Linked DNA regions of Schizosaccharomyces pombe. Changing the gene in region 2 together with the main gene of any one other region gives a genetic interaction. Each region holds a gene or a part of one and is shown on either strand. Other genes may lie near its edges. The genes, in order: pgc1, rhp26, rdl2 and tda3.

Region 1 (5,661 bases), on a different chromosome or scaffold from region 2:
ATTTATGTCCGAAAGGATGTTCATATAAGTTCGAAGAATATGATATATAAGATGCAAGCTCATCAACTTTGATCGCATCGATTGCGACTTTAGGTCGTATTCATGCTCATACGGAATGTTTTTAATAGAAAGCTTACATAAAGCTCTGATTAACAAAAATGCATCCCGAAGCAACTGTTGCTCCAAAGAATCCTCTTCCAAAGGAGCTTCTTCACGAACCTGGTCAAAGCTTTTTCTGTGCTCGAAAGATTCAAGTGTGAGTTTGTTTTCTGATAATTGAGAAGGTATAGGAGAGTTAGCACGATCAGCTAAAACAATAAGTTAGTATAAAGAACTAAAAACATGATGATTGCTTACGAGTTCCATTACTGGATGATTTATTCATGTTAATAGTAGAAAATTCTCTTTCATGATTAAGAACGGTAGAAAGGCGCTGGAATACTGAATCAACCATTTGTAAAAGAGCTACCTGAGCAATGGCTTGGGTAGTTGAGTCTTTACATAAGAGGAAAATATTGTAAGTTTGCCTCACTGCTGTAAGTAAAAACGAATGTCTAATGATTGTCCTTTCAGAAGTAATAGCTGCCAATAAAGCCTTTACAATTTGTAGCTGCACTCTTTCTGGAGTAGACTCACCGCAAAAACAGGATGCAATAGTGTTAACCACACGTTCCATTAAGGTAATATCCGATGGATTTAATGTTGGGGAATCAAAATAATTGTAATCAATCAGCTTGGCAAAGCAATCCAAAGTAATAGTCAGCAACGTTGTACTATTTGTTTGACAAGCCATTACCAAAGGTTCCAAAATGACTTCGGGAAGAAGAAATGGCTGCTTTTGTAATTCTATTTGGACATTATTGATAGCCTCCCTAAGCTTCTTATGCCGTTTTGTAGCCTTTGCTTTTGACATATGCTTAAAAGCCTCAATTACGAAGAGTTGAGGATTGAGTTTGCCAGAGTTTTGGTTAGAGGCGTTTGAAATATTCTTCCAAATCTTTAGATCTTGTGGAGCTTCAGAAGTAGATGTAGTCTGTTTGCTCAGAGTACCTGTTTGTTCACTTTCAATCGAACGTGAATCTAAGTCATCTTCTGGAGGTCTTAGAGATAGATTGCTTTCAATATCTTTTTCCGCTTCTAAGTTTTTATCGTTAATTTCTATACTTTTTTCAGTATTAGACTGTTCAGGTATGGAATCATGTTCATCTATTTCATCAGAAACTCGACTTTTGATTGTTGATTCACTATCCGGTTCTTCTTCGACAACAGACGATCCTTTTACTTCATCAGGATTACTAGAAACCCTACTAACGGTTTCTATCTCCAAATCTGTCATTTTGACATGTATGATATTTGATGTTGTAGCTATGCAGCTATGAAAGTATTATAGTATGAATGGATGGGTACGTATACTACCACTCTGCACACCACGAACCAGATCATAATTTTTTCTTTGAAAATTAACCATTGATTATATCCCTAAAAAAATAAAATTCATTTCTTTGTAATTTGTTTGATAATTTAAGCTAGAAGCATGCTTCGAATTAAGTACGTTTTTTTTTTTTTAATTAGAAAATCTCATTGAACTTCTTATAGACGAATTTATATTAATAGTTAACTGGTAGCATCTATTGTTGATGAATCAAGGCTCTTTTGTTAATATACTGACTCAAACTATTAAAAGTGTTAACTAGTTCTTAAATATTAGTTTTCATAAGATAATAAGAGTATCAATGATTAAACTACTACTGCAGAATACGCTTGTTCCGTACTAAATGCAAATTATTTAGGACGGCATAATGCCTTGCCAAGTTATGTTATTTATTGTAAATAAGTATATTTTTGAAACGAAAAAAACGATAGAAAAAAACTTTTTTATCAATTGAAATGCCACGTATGTTTGCGAATTTCTCTTTTTTCTGCTTCAACGTGGCTGTCCTAATGACAAAAATCTTTAGTGAGCGATTGCAATAATACAAAAAGATAGAGCGTAAACTCTCAAGCAAATAAGAAAAAATTGGGAGATGGGATTTAAACAAATGGAAGAGCAACAAAAATGCTCAATCACTAAAACCGGAATTCTAGTATTCATCAATCATAATATATGTATTTTCCATATTTAGAATAACATACTTACAACACAAAGGTTCTCAATAAAAAGAAGACAAATTGTGCTCGTAAGAAACCATAAATCATATGAAGCCACTCGGAATAATGGAAATAATGCCAAGATTTGGTAACAATTGGGCCTTGGGAAAGAGCTCTAGCCATCACCGGATCATCAGATAAAAGTCCGTCACAGCCTCTAATTAAAGCAAGATAGATAGAAGAAGGTGTGTTTAAAGTCCATGCAAAGACTTGTTTACCTTGGGCATGAACGAGATCAACAAAATCCTGAGAATGAGGAAGTAAAAACAGAGCAACAGCCATACTGACACCCTTTACTCTGGGATGCATAACAAAATGTCTTTCAGCATAAGCGAAGTTGAATCCAATATGATATAACGGAATTGATGGGGCATATCGATCACAAGCAGGGATGAACCTATGTGACCATAAACAAAACGATACTTTGTCTTTCCAAAAGTCTAAATCAGAATTAACCCGAAGCATTGCATCAACCATTCTGGGAATAATTAACAAATCGTTTACTGGCTTAATGTCAACAAGTAGATTGACGCCAGGATGCTTGGTTAATTCATGCAAAAATTGTTCATAGGTAGGTAACGGCTCGTGAGGCTCTTGAATGGTACGAAAATGACCATTATCCAATTCATAATCAAGATCTCGAACATCAACATCAACACCGAATACTCTGTTAAGATTTCTATCATGCAAAATGCAAACCACTTCATCTTTAGTTAGTCGAACATCTGTTTCAACGCAGTCAGCACCAGCCTTTACGGCTTGTTGAAATGCTAGTATAGTATTTTCAGGATACTTAGCTTTGTATCTGTAAACATAAGTTAAACATTTGCTAAATTGGAGAAGGATTTTGACAATTAAGGGTACAAAGTTGCAGATATGAAACTAAGTCTACTAATAATAAAAGCAGTATGCAACTAATACATTCATAAAACATACCCTCTATGAGCAATGACCAAAGGCGGTTTTGAAAACGTGGCTAAAGAACTCGTATTTTCAGCAATGCTTTGAGCAGCATCATCAACGGTATTGGCAATTGAGTAGTTAAAAGCCATTTTGAAGAGAACGATGTTGGTATTGGGAGAAGTAAAGAATGTAGCAACTATATACCAGTTACTGTAGTCCGATGATATCACTCCGCTCCGCTCAGGTTGCAAAAAAGGCGTTGAAGTGATTCGTCGAAGTCAATTCAGTATAACAATATTTTATATAGTTAATTTACGATAAAGGAAGGAAAACATTTCCCTCGCAAAAGAAGCGAATTATCCATCAGAATTGTAGATTCAAATCATATATTTCAAACGCTGAATGCAATTCGCATCATGAAGTTAATAGAGAATCATATTCTGCTAGCGATTGTTGATTAAGAGGAGACATACTTTCGTCGGGTTCAATGGTCTGAATAGCATCCGACATTATACCATAAAAACGATAATGAGTATCTTCAACCTCGTCTGTATTGGGAGTAAGAGGTTGAATCAAAATTAATGTTCCAGTCAAGGGATCACAGTTCCAAAGAAATCCTTCTACTGGTAAACGTCCATTCTTAAACAGGACGCGCAGGTAAGAACCTCTACGCTTTTCTGTTGTGTGAGAATCCATTTCATTAATTATTCAAATAATGTGAGAAAACAAAAAAGATAAAAAAAACATTAATAAAAACCAAACTTTTTAAAACACGGTTTATGTTCAGGTCAAAAAGTAGTAGCAATTTTCGGTAGCTGTATGAGAGGCGTGGAATTACAAGATGAGTATAGCTTCCGTAGCAGACGTAAATCAAGTATGTTTTTCATTCGAACCCAAATTTTTAGTTGTTTTTGAATTTATGAAACTGATACTTAGGCCATTATGGTTTTTTTTGCTAACAATATACCAGCAATGGGATTTACAATCAGTTTTCGTATTAACTTCCATAAAACTTATTTTATTTATCAACGAACATCAAATTCTAGCTCAGAAAAATAAAAAATGCATATATTTTGTTTGAAAACGCTGCTTACGCTAATCTGTATCATATAACTTCTACTCAATTTTCTTAATCCATGTTTCCTGTTTTAGGTACCGCTTTATATTTATTTACTTAAAAAGTATCAATTCATGTATCTTTTTATTACAAGTTTTGCATTCGCATTGTACGAACTTTTGTTTACAAATTCTCCGCCAGAACTTGCCTCCTACCACACACAAAGATTCTGTATGGTATGAACAACGCATATTGAGCTTCTGTTATTTTTTCAATTAAAAGATTACTTATAAAAAAACCTTTCCATTATTCATTTTCTCTTTATGCCCGCACTTTTTAATCTGTATCTAATTTCGGCATATGCCAGTTTTTGATTAATCTGTAGAAACAAACCATAACGGTGTTGTTTCTTCTTTCCAATCTGTCAGTAACTTTTTCATTGGTCTCTTTTCCAATTTATTTTCAGATTGTTTTATCGACTGTTTTCCTTAAAGCTCATTTTTGACTTCTTATTTATTTCAACGAAAAATCACAATCATTGCATCTACGCATGTCACTCTCTAGGTGTCCAACTGACAATTCGTCCTCCCGTATAAATTCCTCTGTTCCTTTAATAAATAGCAGCAGCCCTGCTACACCTCCAGAATCATTTGATCCTCAAGTATTTCCTTCTTCACTTATTCATGGGGATAACCTGCTTCCTCAAGATGATCAAATTGCATCGGATCCTCGCTCAGAATCAAATAGTTGTAATGGCAATACGAGTTCTTCCCTGCCGTGCACTGATTCGTATCAGTACCCATTAAAGCATTCTTGTACGCCTTCTTTTCTTCGAAAGTTTAATGAAAGTATAGAGAATGTCTCTTATAAATGCTTAGACCACTCACCGCCAGATAGTGTTCCTGGCGATTTTTCCATTTCCCTTGTTCCTCAAAGGAATTTTCTATATTCTCATTCTTCTCTTCCACCTAAAATTATATCAATTGATAGAAACAATCGAATTAAGTTAGATAATAGCATTTCATCTAACTCCGACAATTTCCCTCCTTCTCCGAAAGTCGACACATCAAACACTGTTTCACCTGGTAGTAAACCTATCTCTGAGGATCTTGAAGATTTAAACTTACAGTCAATTGTTCAAACTTTTGAGGATCTTCCAGAAGGAATTCAATCTTATGCGTTTTTTCAACTACTCCGTTCGTGCAATCGGCAATCGATGCGTTTATTATTGAATGAATGCGAGCCGCTTCTAAAAAAAGATATACTTTCAAATCTTCCTTTTTCCATTGTTCAGTCTATATTATTAAATCTGGATATACATTCTTTTCTTTCTTGCCGTCTTGTTTCGCCTACTTGGAATAGAATACTTGATGTGCATACTTCATACTGGAAACACATGTTTAGTTTATTTGGCTTTCAAATCAATGAAAATGACTGGAAATATGCTAATCCAAACTTAAATCGTCCACCTTTTTTGCACAACGACCAAATCTCAGATGACTATTTTCCGGAAATTTTCAAAAGACATTTTCTCAATAGAAAACGATGGTTAT
Region 2 (7,613 bases):
TTTCCCCATCATAGGATTTTTTGTTGAATGTCTTGGATTTTTCAATTTGTTCAAAGTCTTTTACCCATTAATTATATCGTTCCTGAGAACAGTTCCTTATATTGGACCATATATTGACCGTTTAACTTCATACCAACAAAGTCCTGTATAAAATTACATCTTCATGCATTATTGTATTTTTATATATCCAAAAAAAAGTCCTAATAGGGAACCATTACCTTACACCTATGCACGAAATAAATCATATTAACTCTTTTCATAGAAAAGACGCAAAGTGTTTCAGTTTCATAGCCATAAAACTCACTTGAATAACACCAGTCAAAAGTGCACTTAACAACCTTTTCCAAAGGCTTGCACTTTAAAAAGAGAAACTCGTCAGTTTTATTATGAGCCTTTATTAAATTATTTTCCGGGTCTGACGTTAAACTATCGAGACAGCTACATATATATTATATAACATTTAACATTGGAAAGCAAAATCATTCAACATTTATTCGTCAACTTAACAATAAAATGAATTTGTTATTTAAAAACAAAAATCCTAATCAATACTCATAAGGTAAATCATTCACACCTTTACTTTATCTTCGTAATACATCGTTGATAACCATAGTATGCTTAAGGGCCAGTTGCTAGTAAAGAAGAATCTTCATTGGCACGTTTTCCATATCCAGACCAAGACTCATCATAAACGCGTACATCCTTAAAACCGCACTCCTTAAGAGCAGCAAACAATACAGAAGCAGTTACACCAGAGCCACATGAAGTGATTATGGGAACAGACTTGTCTGTTAAACCATGGCTAGAAAACACCTTTTCCAAATCTTCCTCAGGCTTCGGAGCTGTAATACCAGCAGCAGTGGTTTCGGTAAATGGAATGTTGATGGACGTAGGAATATGCCCACTAGCTAAACCAGGACGAGATTCGGGAACGTTGCCAAGAAACCTTTCATGAGCGCGAGCATCAACGATGTGAACGCCTGCGGCATCTGGACTTTCAATCACCTTTACAATGTCATCAAAGGAAGCAACCAGATCTTTGTTCAACTTAGCACCTTCGTAAACAACGGGCTTTGGAGTTCTAGGTTCTCCAGTTTCCAATTCAAGACCCTCAGTTTTCCATGCGTTAAACGCATTAGGAAATAAGAAAACATGCTCATGACCAAAGACTTTAAAGGTCCAGAAAACCCTAGGAGACGAAAAAAACCCTTTTCGGTCATAAATGATAACATTGGTCTAAAATATTAGTAAAATTGAAGACTAAGTAATTGGAATTTCTAAACTACTACTTACGTTTCTGTCAATTCCTAATTTTCCAACGTAAGAGGCGAATTCGTCAGCTGGAGGAAGCATATGAGGAAGGGGATTTTTGTGATCTTTAGCCTCATCTATATCAAAGTATTGAGCACCTGGAAGACGACTTTCTAAATACTCCTTCTTTCCGTTTTTAGTGTCTGTTGGCAAGTACCAAGTAGCATCCAAGAGAACGGTTTTTTGAGCATTATCCTTTAATTTTTGCAATACGCCCTTAATAGGCAAAATAAAAGAGATTTTTTTACCAACAGAGAACATTGTTTGAAGCAGAGTCTTATTTTGTTTCAGCGAACTACATAGACTTCGAATTTCAAGTAATCTTACGAAAGTACAGCGTTGGTTGCAGCTCCCAAAATTAATTAACGAGTCAAGTTTTTGGTAAAACCAAATATGTGTGTAAAAATGGTTAGATGCGGTTGCATTGCTTATATACAAATATTAATTTATATAAAATGAAAAAGTACTAGTAATAAGTTCGCCAATAAGCACCAAGACATCAAAATTTTTGAACCACTAGTTTTCTAATTAAAAGGTCTTTTCTGACACTGTCAACAAACATGACTCTAGCATTCTAATAACGTTGACAAAAGAACGTAGTAATTTATAGCTACAAAAAGGGTTGCACGGGTTGCACATACCACTAACTAAGCCGCTTTGAGTGTTCATACTTTTCTCAGCCAACTAGAAAGTTATTAACGCTAATTTTAGGTCTCAGGTAAAGCGAATTTGTCAAGTGCTTGCTTACAATAACATTAACACACTTTAACCAAGTACTTTAACAAAAGGGAAAAATGATCAAAGTAATTCCGACAGCCCTATCCTCAACATGGAATTGACATTTCCAATACTTTTCAAGCAAAGTAAACCCACCTAGTAATAAGGATAATTCCCATTCAAAAAATGAAATGATCGCGTGTCTATCAATAAATCCATAAATAAAGCTTAAATCATGAAAAACTTAATGTACAAAATAAAGGGAAATAATAATAAATAAATAAATGGGTACAAGATTGGGTCCGAAATTTTAATGGATACAGCTTACTCTAAGGCGAACTTCTTCTAATTAATTCATCGTCTCTGTTTTAGTCGGGCAAGAAGAGTGCTTGAAGTAATCGGACCTGATGGTTTAGAAGTACCAGGAACATTAGTAGATTGCTGCGGAGGTATAAGTTGACGAGGAGGTCGCCGAAAAGATGAAACTGCACGCAGAGCTTCATTAGCAACACGCGTCGCTTCTTTTTCAACCAATATGCTTTCAGTCTGGGAGGCTTCCATGATATCGTCGTGCTTTAAAGTACTCTGAATACCAGCACTAGCAAAAATATCATCAAGGACGGAATCATCCCCTAAAGTCGAATCAGAGTTTGTCTTAGTAACATTTGACTCTTGCGGTGGTTTATACTTTTCCATCGATGCAATCCCCATTTTTTCAAACACTTTGGAGCTGTTAACTTTTTTACCTTTGTCGTGAATTTTGTGCTTTTTTCGGTCACGAGCTGGAATATCTTCAGCTTCATTGCCATTTCTTGAGGAATTATCCTTTCGAAGTACTCGTTCAGATCCCAAAAACATGCTGCCTGTCTCAGTGCCCTCAGTCTTGTTATCGCCTAACGTAAACAAATCGTGCAAGTCCGTCATTTTAAAAAACCTTCTTTGTTTTGGATCTTTCAAAATTTTGTTAGTCAGAAACTGCTTAAAGATTTGACGATGATAAATTTTTTCTTCAATAGTTCCAGCAGTCATCAACCGATAAACTACTACATCTTTCTTTTGGCCCAGTCTCCAAGCACGTTCACGTGCTTGAGCATCCGTTGAGGGATTCCAATCAGGATCAAAAAGAATTACCCTGTCAGCACCAGTCAAATTGACTCCTAATCCACCAACACGAGTAGTTAGAAGAAACACATCAAAATACTCATTTTTATTAAAGTTGTCCACCAAATCTTGTCTTAAAGCAATAGATGTGCTACCATCCATGCGACAGTAATGAACATCCGGCAAATCCTTTAATCCTATTTCCAGTATGTCGAGCATTTGGCGAGTCTGAGAAAATAGAAGAGTTCTATGTCCTTGTTTTTTCCACAAAGTTAGTAATGCTCTAATAACCTTCAGTTTGCCAGACTTTTCAGGATCACCATAGTTGTAATCTTCTTTATGTAACAAGTACTCTCGAGTTACAAGATCTGGATGATTACAAATTTTTCGTAGTATATCAATTCCATAAAGCATTTGACGCTTTCCGTTCAAGATCTTTTGCATATCAGAGCCTTGCAAAAAATCTTGGTAAGCTTTCCTTTGTAAAGGAGTCAGCTTACAGAACAATACTTGTTCGGACTTCTTAGGTAAATCTGCAGCAACGTCAAGCTTCATTCTTCTAAGTAAATAAGGAGAAATTAAATCTCGAAGCATGCAGGCGCATTTATAAGCGGTTTGCACTTGAACATTTGAAGCATTGGCATAACCACCAATATTAATAGGTAAGGCAAATTGATTTTGAAATACCGGTAATGTACCCAATCTTCCAGGAAATACAAAATCAAATAAATTCCAAAGCTCGGTAAGGTTGTTCTGGATCGGAGTCCCTGAGAGGATAATCCTATTCACAGTACGGATTTGCTTACACGAAATAGATATTTCAGAATCTGGGTTTCGTATTTTGTGCCCTTCATCCAAAACACAATAACCCCATTCCCGTGGTAAAATCAAATCACCATATATCCTTAAACCAGCATATGTTGTAATTAAAATGTGGCCTCTAGTGAAGACACTTTCAACTAAGTTCTTAGCGTATCTGTGGAATGAACTTGAAGCACCTCTTAATTTTATGGAGGTTTTGCTTTCTTCCGCTTCACTTTCAGAAGCGTCAGATTCATACTGTCTCTTTTCGCGTGAAGCACGCTGTCCGCTGCCAGTAGCATGAAGAACAACAACACGTAATGGAGCCCACCATGTATGAAACTCATTAACCCACTGCTTCATTAAAGTCGCTGGACAAACGATAAGTGCAGGCTTTTGAAATTTGCCAGAGTGATGCAAAGACGAAAGGAAAGATACTATTTGAATAGTTTTTCCTAGTCCCATTTCATCACCAATGATTCCTCCGGCCTCTTGACAATAGAGTTCCCATAACCATTGTACGCAAGTGACTTGATAACGGAAAAGATGTGGGCGAATATCACCTGGGATGGTAAATCCACCCTCAAAAGTCTGTCCTTTTTTGGAAGGATGAGGTAGTAACCACTCATCTTTACCTTCAAACTCTCCTCTATCTTTATTGTTTTCAGATGCTGAGGCCTGATCTCGTAATTCCTTACGATTCGCACACCAAGCATTAAGCCTTTGTCGATATACCAAATCATCTCCATCATCTATAGCGGCAGTTACTACTTTCTCCGTAACAGCATCCACAGTTACGTACTCATCTTTTTCGTCTCTTGGAATAATCCCATGATCAATATTTGACGGCTCCGAACTCAAATGAGGTGCCGTTTCATAGTATGTTCCTTCAGACTTTATAACAGCCTCACGAATGCTAGATTCATCATCAAAATCAACTTCTTTTTGTAGTCCAGAGAGATTTCGAAACGGTGTAACCTTACCAGTACGGATGAGCTCTTGTCTTTCCAATTCTTCAGTCGAAAATGCACCTATACCAGGGGCATTTGCCGAATCTTCGTTATTAAGTCTTCTCTTAATATCATTTTCGTCTGATTGTAAACTTTGAAGAGTGTCTCGGAATTTAGATAATTGTTTGCGGAAGTTCTCCTTGACACTTATTTTTGTAAGTCGACTGTCTATACGCTCATCAAGGCGACGTATTTTTTCTTTTACAGAAGATATTTCTTTCCTGACTTTTTGAAGTCTCTTCTTTTCGATCTCTCGACTTTCATGTGCAATGTACTCACTAGCAGTATTCGTAACATCGCGTTCCAAATTCTCTTGGTCAACCGAAAAAACCCCTAAATGGGATAGATCTTCATTGACACTCATATCCTATCAATTTCTTAAATAAAGTCTCATTTTCAGACTCACTGCAAATTTAAGAAAATACTTTGTTGTTTGGTTAAGGGCAAAATTACATATTCCTTCATGCTGCTCCTGTTATAGCGAGAAGCAATGAACCACACAAAGCAATAACGAATAAATCCTTATTTCTAAATGACATTGTCAATGCTAGATAAACTCACGTTTCTGCGCGCGGATTGTATATTCGCAGACTTTTAAAGTAATGGAGGTGCAAAAGGGTTTAATTGAAGCTTTTTATAATACATATCCATTAGAAAAGGCAAAAGAACTGGATAAGAGTCCACTTTGTTCTGAATATGAATTATTCATCAAAGAATTATGGCCTTCGATTGTTGAGAGTTTTCATAACTCAACTGAGTTTGAAACGGCAATAAGATTTTGCTGTTATGAAACAGCAGTATGTGCTTTTTCCATAATGAAGTTTTCCTTAAGTTACTAATTGTTATTTTCGTGTAGCGCAAAAGTGAGATTGGATTGGAGGAGCGATTAAAATGTTTATTTGCGATTTTGGATCTCTTAGTAATAGGGAACGAAATTAACGAAAGCTTCTGTGATCACCTGTTGCCTTTTCTAATCTTGGAAGAGCTGATGGACATTCACACCGTCAACGAATGCGCCAAATTATATGAATATTTTGAAACCAGACCTAGCTTGATGAAAGGTATTGTCAGCAATCGTGGAAGAGGACCCGTTTTGCTTCGGATATCAAATGAATTACTCCGGCGTCTTTCTCGGCAAGAAAATTCATCTTTTTGTGGGCGGATCGATATTCTGCTAAGTAAGGCTTTCCCCCCTGAAGAACGGAGTGGAGCCAATTTACGTGGAGATTATAATACTGTTCATTCTTTTGGGAAGGTAGAACTGTCACCACCATCCACACCCATTTCGGACCGAACAGACCTCTCATATCACAAAAAACTTAATACCTTATTTACTGCTTATTGGGATTTGCAGTGTATGTGCTCCAACCCTCCTAAATTACTAGCAAGTGATACCTTACCTAAGTTTATAGATGCAGCTGGTTCTGCAATACAGGCATTCGAATCTATATTACAAAATACGTTCTTCAATGGGAAGTCAAACCCTACAATTGATCCAAACTCTAGCTCATTACTTTCTGAAAAATATATAACTTTGGATAAAGGATTTCCTTCTAAATATATATATTCTCGGTCGCTTTTTGAATACCAACTTTCAGATGAAGATTTCCGGTTACAGGCTATTTTACAATTAATTATTATTTTCGACTTTTTGCTTGACCATTCTAAAGAACGAATTGAAAGGAGAACTCTTGAAAAATGGACAAATAAGGCGGTAATTCCCATTGTTATTTTGTCTGACGAAGATGTATGTTCTTTTTTAGACTCGAAAAAAACTGATTTTATTGATTGCTAATATGTAGACCTCAAAGTTAAATGAATTATCCAAAGAAGCATATAGTTTCTTACATACTGCCCGGTGTGGTTCTGTGCAAAGAACCATTAAAGAAATTATACATATTGAGGGTAATTGGAAATTATGGAAAGGGCTTGGCTGCCCTTCCCTTGAAAAACCCCTAGTAGATAAAGCGGCTATTGATGAAGCTGTCGAAGGCTTAAAAAAGCTTACAAACACCCCAGTGAAATTAAGATTTGCTATGGGAAATGCTGCTTTGTCGAGGCTCTGGGAGCAGGCTGGAGAAAATACCCTTGATGATCTCAAAAAGGAGGAAAGGTACCGGATTCCATCACCTGAGAGCTTTTTATCTGGCGTTAAAGCAGACAAGTTTGAAATAGAAGAGGCAGTTAGAGATGATGACAAGCATTTCCATGAACAGTCCTTGGCAACGAAGACATGGCGTGCCTTTCGTTCAGCAATTAATAGCCATCTTCAAAACTTTTCGGATACCGGACTAGGTGATGTTGAATTGCTTTGTAATTCCATTGAGGGCAAACCGACTACATCGAAAATTACACCCTCTATTCCTCCAGCTTTTGATATTCATATTATAGAAGGAGAAGAGTTATTAGAGGAAATGAAAAAGAGGGAGAATGTCAAGCACAATTCTCAAAACTTTGCAAGTCCTATGCAAACAGATGCTGAAGGTGATATTGTCCAAAATGAAGAGGAAAAAGAAAGCGTTGAGGTTGAAGAAGGAAAACATAAAAATGACTTGCCAAAGGTATCACCTAAACCCCCAACTGAGGGTGTGGACAGTGAAGTAAACGGTGAATCTTTGGTTCAGGTTAATAAGGTTCTCAAATCAGAAGATGATAATACATCTGAAGCTTCAA
Region 3 (4,769 bases), on a different chromosome or scaffold from region 2:
TGTAACAATAACTATAAATAATAAGAGTCATATTACTATAAGTATGTTATGTCGAAGGAAAATTACAAACAGTTTTACTTGATTGCAAAGGTGGACTATATATCTGAGACAATTAACTCTTAATGTATCATTTACCAGATATGGAGGAAACTGTAAATAAAATATTGCGAGCTCAAGAAACGAGAGCTCAGTTATACAAAGAACTGGAGGAGTAAGTATTTTCAAAGATATATAAATAAAATAGGTCTAACAAAGGTAGTGCTCTCAATGCAAATCAAGAGAAAAAAATTGGACTTGAGCAAATGGGCATAATTGTTCAACTGGTGACTGAAGGTTTAAATGAAGTTTCTTCTGATATTCGAAACTATCAAGCATCTCTTACTAAGGAGCTTAAACTATTGGTGGATTCTTTACAGGAAAAAGAGCGCTCTAAGCTACAAGCGGTAAATTTTTTTTCATAAATCTTTCTATGCAAGTTACTTACAATGTATAATATTTGCAGACCGTCAAACTTGAGCAGTTAAAAGTTGTTTCTACTAATTCACCAGTTGAGAATACGCAAATTTCAGAATTGGAAGCTAGGTAAATTGAAAATTGAATTATCCAGATATAACTAACAAATAATTATTAGACTTTCTTCACTTTCTAAAGAAATCAACGATATCTTACAAAATATGAAGGATGAAATATGAAGAAAATTGGTTTAATTACTATGGCATATCCAAGTTTTCTCTTTAGCAAGAGTAACATTATGAAGTATGATTCTGAATTTTCTTAAATTTAGAGAAAGTAAAAATTCTACATTAGAAATTTAGGGGACAGTCAGTTCAAAGGTCTCCTTTCTAATCATACTTGTAATTGAGATTGTAACATTCAGTGCAAAAGAAAAAAATGTTATTCGCGTTTTGAGCAAACCGGCAAGGTATGAATAGTATTCTTCAAGCCTTTAAATGTCAAAAACCCATCAATTTTAATTCCACCTGGTTGTTCGAAAACTAATTTCTTAGAGTTATCTTTAACACGTGCTTGAACTGTATTCCCTAGTTTAATTGAATTTGGAGGTGTTCTTTCTAAACCCGGAATTAACTACAATGACTGTCTCAAAATATATTTTCCCATATTAATAGCTTCCAATGTATTTACAGCTTTACCCTTTCGTCGAAGTCTTTGACAATAGAAATGCGAAGGAATAAATCGCTTGAGTAAGTAACTTATCATAGTTCAATTCACCTTATTGTTACATTGCAGTAAAATTGTTTTTGTTTTCTAAGTACACCTTACTTATCATCTAAAAATGGTGAGCAAGCATACGATGCATGCATTCAACTCTAGAAACTTAAACTACATATAAAACTAAAAGGTAACGTAATGGGTGAGAAGGCTGGAAAGCGTTCGAGTCTACCCTCACTTAGACTTAATTTTGTCGGACCACTCAAGCCATGAGCCAGTGTAGTTTCCAATACTAAAAGGTTAGTTTTTGAACACTGTTCTCGAAATTAAGTGGAATTGTTCACCTATACAAACATACTTTTTATAGCCGAGTTTGGTGAGAATGTCAGAAGCGGTCGTACTTCTTCTACCAGAGCGACAGTAAACTACAACGTTGTCCTCAAAAACGGGTTTGCTGAATCCATAAGTCTTGGAAAACTCCTCGTCACTAAGTTTCATGGCTTCCTCGATTTTTCCAACAGGTAAATTATAAGAAGTTTCGATTGCACCTTGCTTAAATTCATCGGGCTCACGAACGTCTGACATGTTAGCAGAATAAGTTTTAACTCACTATTGTATTGTCCTTACCAATTAAAACGGTGGATTTGTCGCCAGTTGGTCTTTTACTAAGGTTATAAACCTATTTCAAGTTAGTACCGTTAATAATTCCAAAATACTTGGAGAGTAGAGTAGCGAAGTGTAAAACTTAGCTTTAACCAGAAAACATCGCATATGAAAGCAAACGTATTCCTATGTTGGTTTACCTTTTCGAAATCAAAGATGCTGACATTCTTAACTACTGTAGAACTGTAGAAAGAGCGGGTCATCAGGAGGCGAGATACGGAAAGAGTTTTAGAAAACATTATGGGTGAAAACAAGGTTTATTACAGCTAGATGGCCCCTTTCAGCAGGCAGGTTAAATCTCAGATTCCCACAGTTGACGGTAGTGGTATAAGCGTGATCGGTGAGTAGTATGATTATATGAACGATCGCTATTACGAAATCGGCAGGTTTGAAGTGTTATAGGGGCTTGTGTTCAGAGGAATCAATAAATGAAATGGATCTTTGTATTTTCGAGATTTTTCAATAATATTTTTCTTTTTTAAAACGGTAGTTTTTAAAGTTACTATTCAAGAAAAGAGCGATTCATCCATCGGGAAAAATGAAGTTGCCGCATTTTCTATGTTTCACTTTTAAACAATTACATATTCAGTATATAAGTTCATAGAATAGAACTGTACGTACGTCTTTGGCACAGTTCTTTAAAATTGCGGATCTTTAATTGTGTATATTACTATATGGAGGTAGCATATGGATTTACCAAAAAGCATTTTATGGATAATTTGTTATTCATAAAATTATGTTTGTTGGAAATACACTGACAGAAACAAGCACTCTAATTTTCAATTGAGCTACAGTTGTTTGTTTTATCATTAGGAGAAAACAGGAATTCATACGACGCTGATTTATATAGATGTATACGTAAGTTTATTTATTTATTTTTTCTCGTCGGGCCTGAAATGCACTGTACTGTAATGTCATGGCATGCTTCAATGCTAATGTAATAGGAAAAAAATCACAGTACACAAATTTTTATGAGTGCTGATATTCTCGCAATGGAGAAACGCTAGGTTTAACGTAAGCATGATGTTTAAATTTGCCAGTACAATTAGAAAACAGGTTGTAAGTCCACCTTTGATATTAGGTCACAGTTCAAATCACTTTTGATTGTATTGCACATGATATTACGTTTACTAAGATTTCGCATCAATTTTAATATTGCAAGTTCTAAGGTAGCAGCATATTATTGAAAATTGAAATTTCAAATGGAAAAGTGATTCACATGCGTCCATTAAAATATAAAAAATAAAAAAAGAAATTTATATCTAGAATAAATTATTGTTTCTTTTAGCGGCAGAAAAACTAGTAGTAAAAATTTTATGCCAATAAATAAATATATAAAATAATGAACCTAAATAATCATATTGGCAATGTTTTCCAATTCAATCATCCGAAATGAATGATTGCAATGGATGAAGGAAAATAAAAACTTGTAAAAATGAAGGTCAGTAAGATTCAGTGTTTAAGATACCTCTCTGGTTTACAATCTTTTATGGACAAATATATGAACGGTTAATTCGATACAGTTCATCTGTTTCACTCGAATACTCAATATAATTTATTTACAATTCACCCATTAAATTAATATTTACCTTATTCATTCGCTTTCATTAATTTCATTCATTCACTTAGTCCCTTATTGTACCAACCTTGTCGCTCGGTACCGAATACAACAGTCGGCGGTTGATCATAGCTAACTAGTGCTAATAGCTAATTTCCTTAAGCAGACTTTTAATCCAACTGTGAATACCAATTACGTACTGTTTTGATTTAGTTAATATTTTCTTCCTCTTTTTTTTTTGCGCTTTTTTTCCATCGAAATCAAATATTATGAAGAATGACTTACTTCATAATTGCGATACCCGAAAACATCACTGATAAAGAGGGGATATCATATTAAAGAGTGAATACCGGTTAGGTCTTAGTTGATTCTTTGGATGTTGGATTGAGGTTTAGCTTGAAATGATGGTTGTCTTTCGTTTCAATTCACCTTTACAACATTTAATTTTTTTTTTAATGATCCATGATCACAATGCCATAATTTACGAAATCCTGGATTACGAGACTCCTGATCGAGCCGCAACTGCTGAATACAAGCGAACCTTGAATCGCAGGCGGATGAAGTATAAAGTTAACTCATATCAATTAAAGAGATTGCAAAGCGGCGGAACACCGTTCCCACGCTTCTAGTACTATGCGGAATGAATAAAAATATTAGGCGGAATGAATAGATTGTCGAGAATGGATTTCTCTCTCGAAATTACGTTCATTTCCTATACATCAGGGGATTATGACATAGAAACGTAAATGGATGTTCTCCGACAAAAAATAAAAAAAATATATTATATATAGAGATAGACGTGCGCCTTAATATATTTCCAATTTACTACGACTGACTAACTAACTAAATAACTGCGACTTTATTAAAAAAACATTAATAAAATGGATCCTGTTCCTAGCACACAAACTCAAAAATGGCCTGGCAAGCATGCCGACTTAGATCCTGAACCATCACTTCTCAGATATTGTGATGGACGGGTACATGTCGGATCAGGGAAACTTGCAGAGAAAAAGACATTGCTCACAGGAGGAGACTCTGGTATTGGTAAAGCAGCAGCGGTGATGTTTGCCAGAGAGGGATCTGATCTCGTTATATCATGCCTTCCAGAAGAAAGAGACGATGCAGAAGTTACGAGAGATTTAATTGAACGTGAAGGAAGAAATTGTTGGATATGGGAGGGAAAACTTGACAAGTCTGATAACTGTAGGGATTTGGTTGATTTTGCTCTAAAGAAGCTGGGTTGGATCGATGTATTGGTGAACAACATCGCATATCAACAGGTCGCTCAATCCATTGAAGATATCGACGATGAACAATGGGATCTCACTTTTAAAACGAACATCTTCTCCTTTTTCTGGGTCACCAAGGCCGCTATTTC
Region 4 (5,222 bases), on a different chromosome or scaffold from region 2:
CATACTGCAGAATTGGCTCACAGCCAAAGACTTTTACACGACAACCAACAATATGTAATTCTCCGGTTTCCGTAGGAGTTACAGTAAGTGTAGTACGCTCTATAGATAGTGGCCGCATCGTAAAAGTAGAATGTGAACATTTTGCAGAAACCCCTTTCGTTTCTAAATGAACATCTTGCACTTCAACTGATACACTAAGAGGGTTACGAAAATAGATCGAAAACGCAACTTGTTCATCGACAACGAGGACTGATTTCGATTGGTTTTGGTCCTGTCTTCTATTAAATGGATTATAGATGAATGGTCCTTTTTCAATTGATTTTGGTAACCCGTTTCTTAACCGTTGATGAATTAATTCGGCATTCTCGGACGAACCAATGAACTTTAAATCCGTTATCATAAATGGGTCCCAGTATGGAGCGTTAATGTGTATACCAGCATTGCTAGCAAATAGGTACGTTTTTCTAAAAGCTTTAAACATAGAGATTTGTTGGGAAGAAGAAGCAGTTTGAACAGAAGTGAGAAAAAACAAAGAAATTAAAAGAAGAATACTGCGATAGTCAGATAGAGAATCACAAAGGGATATAAGCTCATTAAGAACATCAAATTGTAAATTTGACCAACCCCATTTTGTTAATTCTGGATTTAGAAGACTACCATCAGTTTTCAATAGGCCATATTCTTGACATATTTCAGATATCAAAGGTAAGATGTTACAGTAATGAGTGCTTTTAAAGGATTGTGCGGTATGCGAAGCAATAACCTCCGGATGTATTCCATTTTTTGAAGCATTTTGCCTACGCGTTTCTAATAGTACAGGTGTTAAACTCGCAACCAACTCACGCAACATCTTGACCCTTAACCGAGAAAATCCTATACTTCCAAGCATATTTGCCATAGCCCCGTATATGCGACAACGTTCACGAATTGAAAGAGAGTTAAGATGCTGTCCTTGGGCTCTCATAATCCATTGACAAATAGTTGCTTTATTTGGTACATACGTTGTAGCTTTTTTAACAGGTCTTATGGGGGCTTGAGCAATAATATGATCCAAAGCGTTGTCGTTAAATCCTTTACAACTATAAACAACTGTGAGTAAATGAGCATACCGTAGGATACTCTCGGAAAAACAGAGGCCGGGGACAGCATCATTAGGTTGAAGAGTGGATTTTTGATATAATTGATCAACTACGTTGCGCATTTCTGTGATAAAGTTTAATAGTGCATCAAATTTGAGTGGTCCAAAGGCATTCAATCTATCATTATAAGAAGGGAACATGGATAATATATTAGGAGGAATCTGGACGTCCACATGCAAATGAGCCATTATAACCAGACAAACAGTAAATAACTCCAACGAAAGTCCTTGCCAAAGAAAGTCTCCAGTTGCTTTAGAAAGCGCTATGGCTGTTGAGAAATGCTTCAACGCATTGGGAACTCTGCCGGCCAGCAAGTATAGCTGGCCAAATTGGTTCTCAATACGCCCCTTTGAGAGACTTTTGGATCGTTCCGTTACACTATTCACAGATCTTGATGTGATCGAGGGAGTTCTCGTCAAAGTAGGACGAGAAGATGAGCCTAAGGAGTGAATCGACGCATTAGAATTTTTCCTTTGCAAGGGAGCCAAATGTGGCATGTCAGTAATTGGAGAAAGGATCACGGAACGCGCGTGTATAGAAAACTCGAGCGAACTAAATCCTTCTAACAACTCAGCAGTGATATCGCATAAAATAGACCGCATTACGGAGTTTATTGAAAAATCAGACCTTGGTCCTATTATGATATTGGGAGCATTAAATATATTCTCTTTGTCTTCTGGACAATTAAATACGATGCATTTTGCAACTAACGCATGAGGTATCCTTCTCCGCCAAACATCCAAGGTAGAACATAATTGCTCAACTTCTTGTTCCTCTGACCCATCTACAATACCAATAAGAACGAAAACGCGCCGAAAATATTCAAATTCTTCTAGTAGAGCTTGTTGATCATCAAGGCTGGTTAGGAAATTGTACACCAATCTGCCCAACGGAAAAGCCAAAGGATTGAAAGAACTCGCTATTAAGATTAGTCAATAATCATAAAAATAAGAAACATACATTTTCTAGTAGCAGTAGCTACAGGGACATCACTCAACTGAATATGACTTACTCTGCGGAGTAATTGTAGGTAGGACGAGAAACTTTTTCTTCTAACACGACCAAAAGGAAGGACTAATGATTGAACTCTGGAAGGAGCAACAAACGAAAAAAAATCAAATTCCATAGCATCTCCAGCAATGTAATGTTTTGGAGCACGTACTGAGAACAAAGTGCTTGAATACCATTTAACGGATTACATCCATACCATCACTAATTTATTTTGCATATTTCTGTTGATTGTCGATCATAAGTCGGTAAAATAAACTTTTCAAGATGATATCGCTTAACAATTATCATTGTTGTGAAATGTCTAATATTTGTTATGCTTTGGAAATACCATTCTGCATATACAGCTGTACAGCTGTTTTCAGTAGATTATTTGGAATCAAAATATAATTACAACTCAATGAACTGGTTGCAGTAATTTTAATTAAGGCATGTGTAAATAATATGTAAACTATCTGAAGAATGTGAATCTGGCATTTCAAAAATTTAAAAATCCGTTTGTTTATGCGAACTTGACTTTATAGATTAGGAGGAGTATTTTGTAATTTTTTTCCTTTTTTACAATCGTTTGGTATTCATGAAAGAATCGTATATCTCGCCATAGCAATTTATGAAAGGCATTCTGAATGGCAAAAACTGTTGAATATTGAACCGTTTTGTTATTATTATTATTGCTATTTATTTTATTCTCAAAATGGTAAAAAAATAAGAGAGATTGAAGGAAATACTGGTGAGGATAACGTAATGTTTAGAAGCGTTACAGCAAGATGATTGTGTTTCAAGTCAACTTTCCAACTTCAAATATGAGCGCTACAAGTAGAGAAGGAAATAAGACAAAGATAGGAATAGTAGGAGGTAATTTTGGAGAACAACAGTTTCATAAATGATGAGTGAGCATGCTGACGATGATTTTTAGGTGGCATTATTGGAATTTGTACGGCGTTTTACTTAACAGAAGAACAAGAATACAAAAAAGGAGAATTGGACATATTTATATTTGAATCAAAAGAAATAGCAGGAGGTAGCTCCGGCATTGATTCTGCAATCTTGACAAAACTGTGCCAGAATGAAATCATACAGCCACTTTCAACTCTCGCTTTGAAGCTTTATGAAGGATTGGATAAAAAATTTGATGGGAAGAAAAACTGGGAATATAGGACTGCCAATTCTTGGTTTTGTAAGATGAAATGGGACAATACCAATGTTGCCAAAGTTCCCGATACTTTGCAATGGCTTCAACGAGAGCGCATGCAAAAATGTAAGCTCATAAGTGCTACCAAAAAAAAATAATAACTTTATTGTATAAGTCATATAGAGACTAACCATTTAGGTTCTAGTATCGGTTCCGGCAACGATTTTGCAATGATCAATCCAAAATTGTTTTGTCAATTTATGGCAAAAGAAATAGAAAAACGAGGAGTAAAGTTTATATTTGGAAGTGTGAAAGAGGTTAGTAAACACCATATTACATACGTTCCAAAACAAGAAGCTGAAGATACAATAATAAAAGCACAGGTGCATAAAACGCTGGTGAGTGCTGGGCCTTGGACTGGTTATCTATTACCATTTACTGGTATTGCAGGTCTATGCATTCCCATAATTCACCTATCGGTAGGAAATTTTCCCGTTGGCGACAGCATTGTTGTGTGTTGTTTAAATACCATGGGTAATCTAAACATTTGCAAAACAACCGAAATTTTCAGTAAAAACCGGGAGCAGCTTATTTTTATGGGAACTCCAAAATTCCATTTGCTGCCAAAAGATAGTAATCGATGTTTTTTTAATCCTTTTGAAATTATCGAATTGAAAGAAATGACCGATTTGGTGCTCTCGGAGAATACGAAGAGTAACTACTTAGACGCATCTTTTAAGTTCCTTCCTACCAGTAGAATAACAGGTATCCCGATAATATCAACAACCAAGTCTGGTGTATTTGTTGCAGCGGGTCACGCCAACTGGGGGATAACTCAAGCTCCTGCCACGGGTTTATGTATGGCAGAAATGCTCCTTGGCAAGGAAAAAACAAGCATAAACACAGATCCTTTTCACTTAAATCTCGGTGAATGAGGATTTCAAATTATATCCTCTAATTTTTGTTTTAATTGTTTGTCAAAAAAAACGAAGGACTCATTCACTGAAAGGTGAAAATATAGAAGCAGAATGGATGCTTATTCCTTTACCGAAATAGAATATTACAGTGTTGTAAAATTTTCTAATCATATTTATTAAGGTTTTCGTTTTTATCGCATTGGAAAATCGATTTTCTTTTTTTTTGTTTTACAATTTCCATCTCGACTTAGTATACCATTCGTTACCTCTAAGTTGATTGTTACTTGAGAACACTTGCTCGTGTTTTTACAATTCTGCTATACGCCAACAACAGTAAGACACTAACATTCCTCACAAAATGTCTTCTTATCGGGGATCAACTCGACCCAGAAAGAGGACGAGAGAGGGAGAGAATTATGGATTTCGTCCCCATAGAGGAAACTCTCAAGAGCTACTTGCAGCGCGTATAAAAAAGGATATTACCTTTTTGGCGGATCCTCGAGGAAATTCAGTAGCTGCTGATGACATTAATTATGTTGCTATGTCTCTTAGTCGTGAAGCTAATGATCCTGAAACCATTTCAACTATCTTAGATTGCATTCAGACAACGTAAGTGATAATTTATACTGTCCCTTCAGAAAACTAATTTAATCCTTAGTGCATTTATCATTCCAGTCAAAATACCTCATTTGGCTACATTAATTATAAGAGCCTCATTAAGGGTTCCTTTAATCTTAGAAAAAGCAGCTGCGTATTTTTGTTTACAGTATTTTACGAATTTAAACTCCTTTCTTTATTACGAGGCTAAAGTCGATCTACGAATGCTCATTTGCATGTCATTTGCACTTCAACCAGGTACCCTTAAGCCACTATTTTCATTACTGGCTGACGCTATCTCAAAAGAAACCAAACCCAGTGTCTGGGGAGATAATTTCCTGCGCATAATTTTGATAAACCTTCCATATTTCATCGCAGCTAACAACGATCTCGGTAAAAAGGATTTTGCTAATGAGATACTGGATCAAT

What was found.
Region 1: mutations in rhp26 (region 2) and pgc1 together harm fitness more than expected from each alone (negative genetic interaction), as found in Schizosaccharomyces pombe (one large-scale study listed by BioGRID).
Region 3: mutations in rhp26 (region 2) and rdl2 together harm fitness more than expected from each alone (negative genetic interaction), as found in Schizosaccharomyces pombe (one large-scale study listed by BioGRID).
Region 4: mutations in rhp26 (region 2) and tda3 together harm fitness more than expected from each alone (negative genetic interaction), as found in Schizosaccharomyces pombe (one large-scale study listed by BioGRID).

Annotation. Positions count from the first base shown.
Region 1 is NC_003424.3:5,350,473-5,356,133, forward strand, and holds pgc1 (glycerophosphoryl diester phosphodiesterase), read right to left. Parts: upstream 3,224-5,661; 5' UTR 3,201-3,223; coding exon 3,085-3,200; intron 3,027-3,084; exon of another isoform or gene 2,954-3,026; coding exon 2,134-2,953; 3' UTR 1,627-2,133; downstream 1-1,626. Other genes in the region: Sec7 domain-containing protein sec71, read right to left, coding at 1-308, 358-1,336; SMN complex subunit Gem6, read right to left, coding at 3,466-3,747; F-box/WD repeat protein Pop2, read left to right, coding at 4,659-5,661.
Region 2 is NC_003421.2:1,177,254-1,184,866, forward strand, and holds rhp26 (SNF2 family helicase Rhp26 ), read right to left. Parts: upstream 5,386-7,613; 5' UTR 5,305-5,385; coding exon 2,383-5,304; 3' UTR 1,679-2,382; downstream 1-1,678. Other genes in the region: transport protein Got1, read left to right, coding at 1-151; thiosulfate sulfurtransferase Tum1, read right to left, coding at 619-1,236, 1,294-1,572; THO complex subunit Tho1, read left to right, coding at 5,543-5,737, 5,797-6,687, 6,743-7,613. UniProt on the Schizosaccharomyces pombe protein: Involved in transcription-coupled repair (TCR).
Region 3 is NC_003424.3:3,837,309-3,842,077, forward strand, and holds rdl2 (thiosulfate sulfurtransferase Rdl2), read right to left. Parts: upstream 2,163-4,769; 5' UTR 2,073-2,162; coding exon 1,974-2,072; exon of another isoform or gene 1,850-1,973; coding exon 1,798-1,849; exon of another isoform or gene 1,749-1,797; coding exon 1,529-1,748; exon of another isoform or gene 1,463-1,528; coding exon 1,405-1,462; 3' UTR 1,352-1,404; downstream 1-1,351. Other genes in the region: SPOM_SPAC4H3.06 (uncharacterized protein), read left to right, coding at 141-211, 260-443, 503-582, 632-692; SPOM_SPAC4H3.08 (3-hydroxyacyl-CoA dehydrogenase), read left to right, coding at 4,273-4,769.
Region 4 is NC_003424.3:3,223,979-3,229,200, forward strand, and holds tda3 (FAD-dependent amino acid oxidase), read left to right. Parts: upstream 1-2,950; coding exon 2,951-3,002; exon of another isoform or gene 3,003-3,063; coding exon 3,064-3,405; exon of another isoform or gene 3,406-3,477; coding exon 3,478-4,214; downstream 4,215-5,222. Other genes in the region: TRAPP complex subunit Trs120, read right to left, coding at 1-2,058, 2,100-2,265; cbc1 (nuclear cap-binding complex large subunit), read left to right, coding at 4,555-4,805, 4,855-5,222.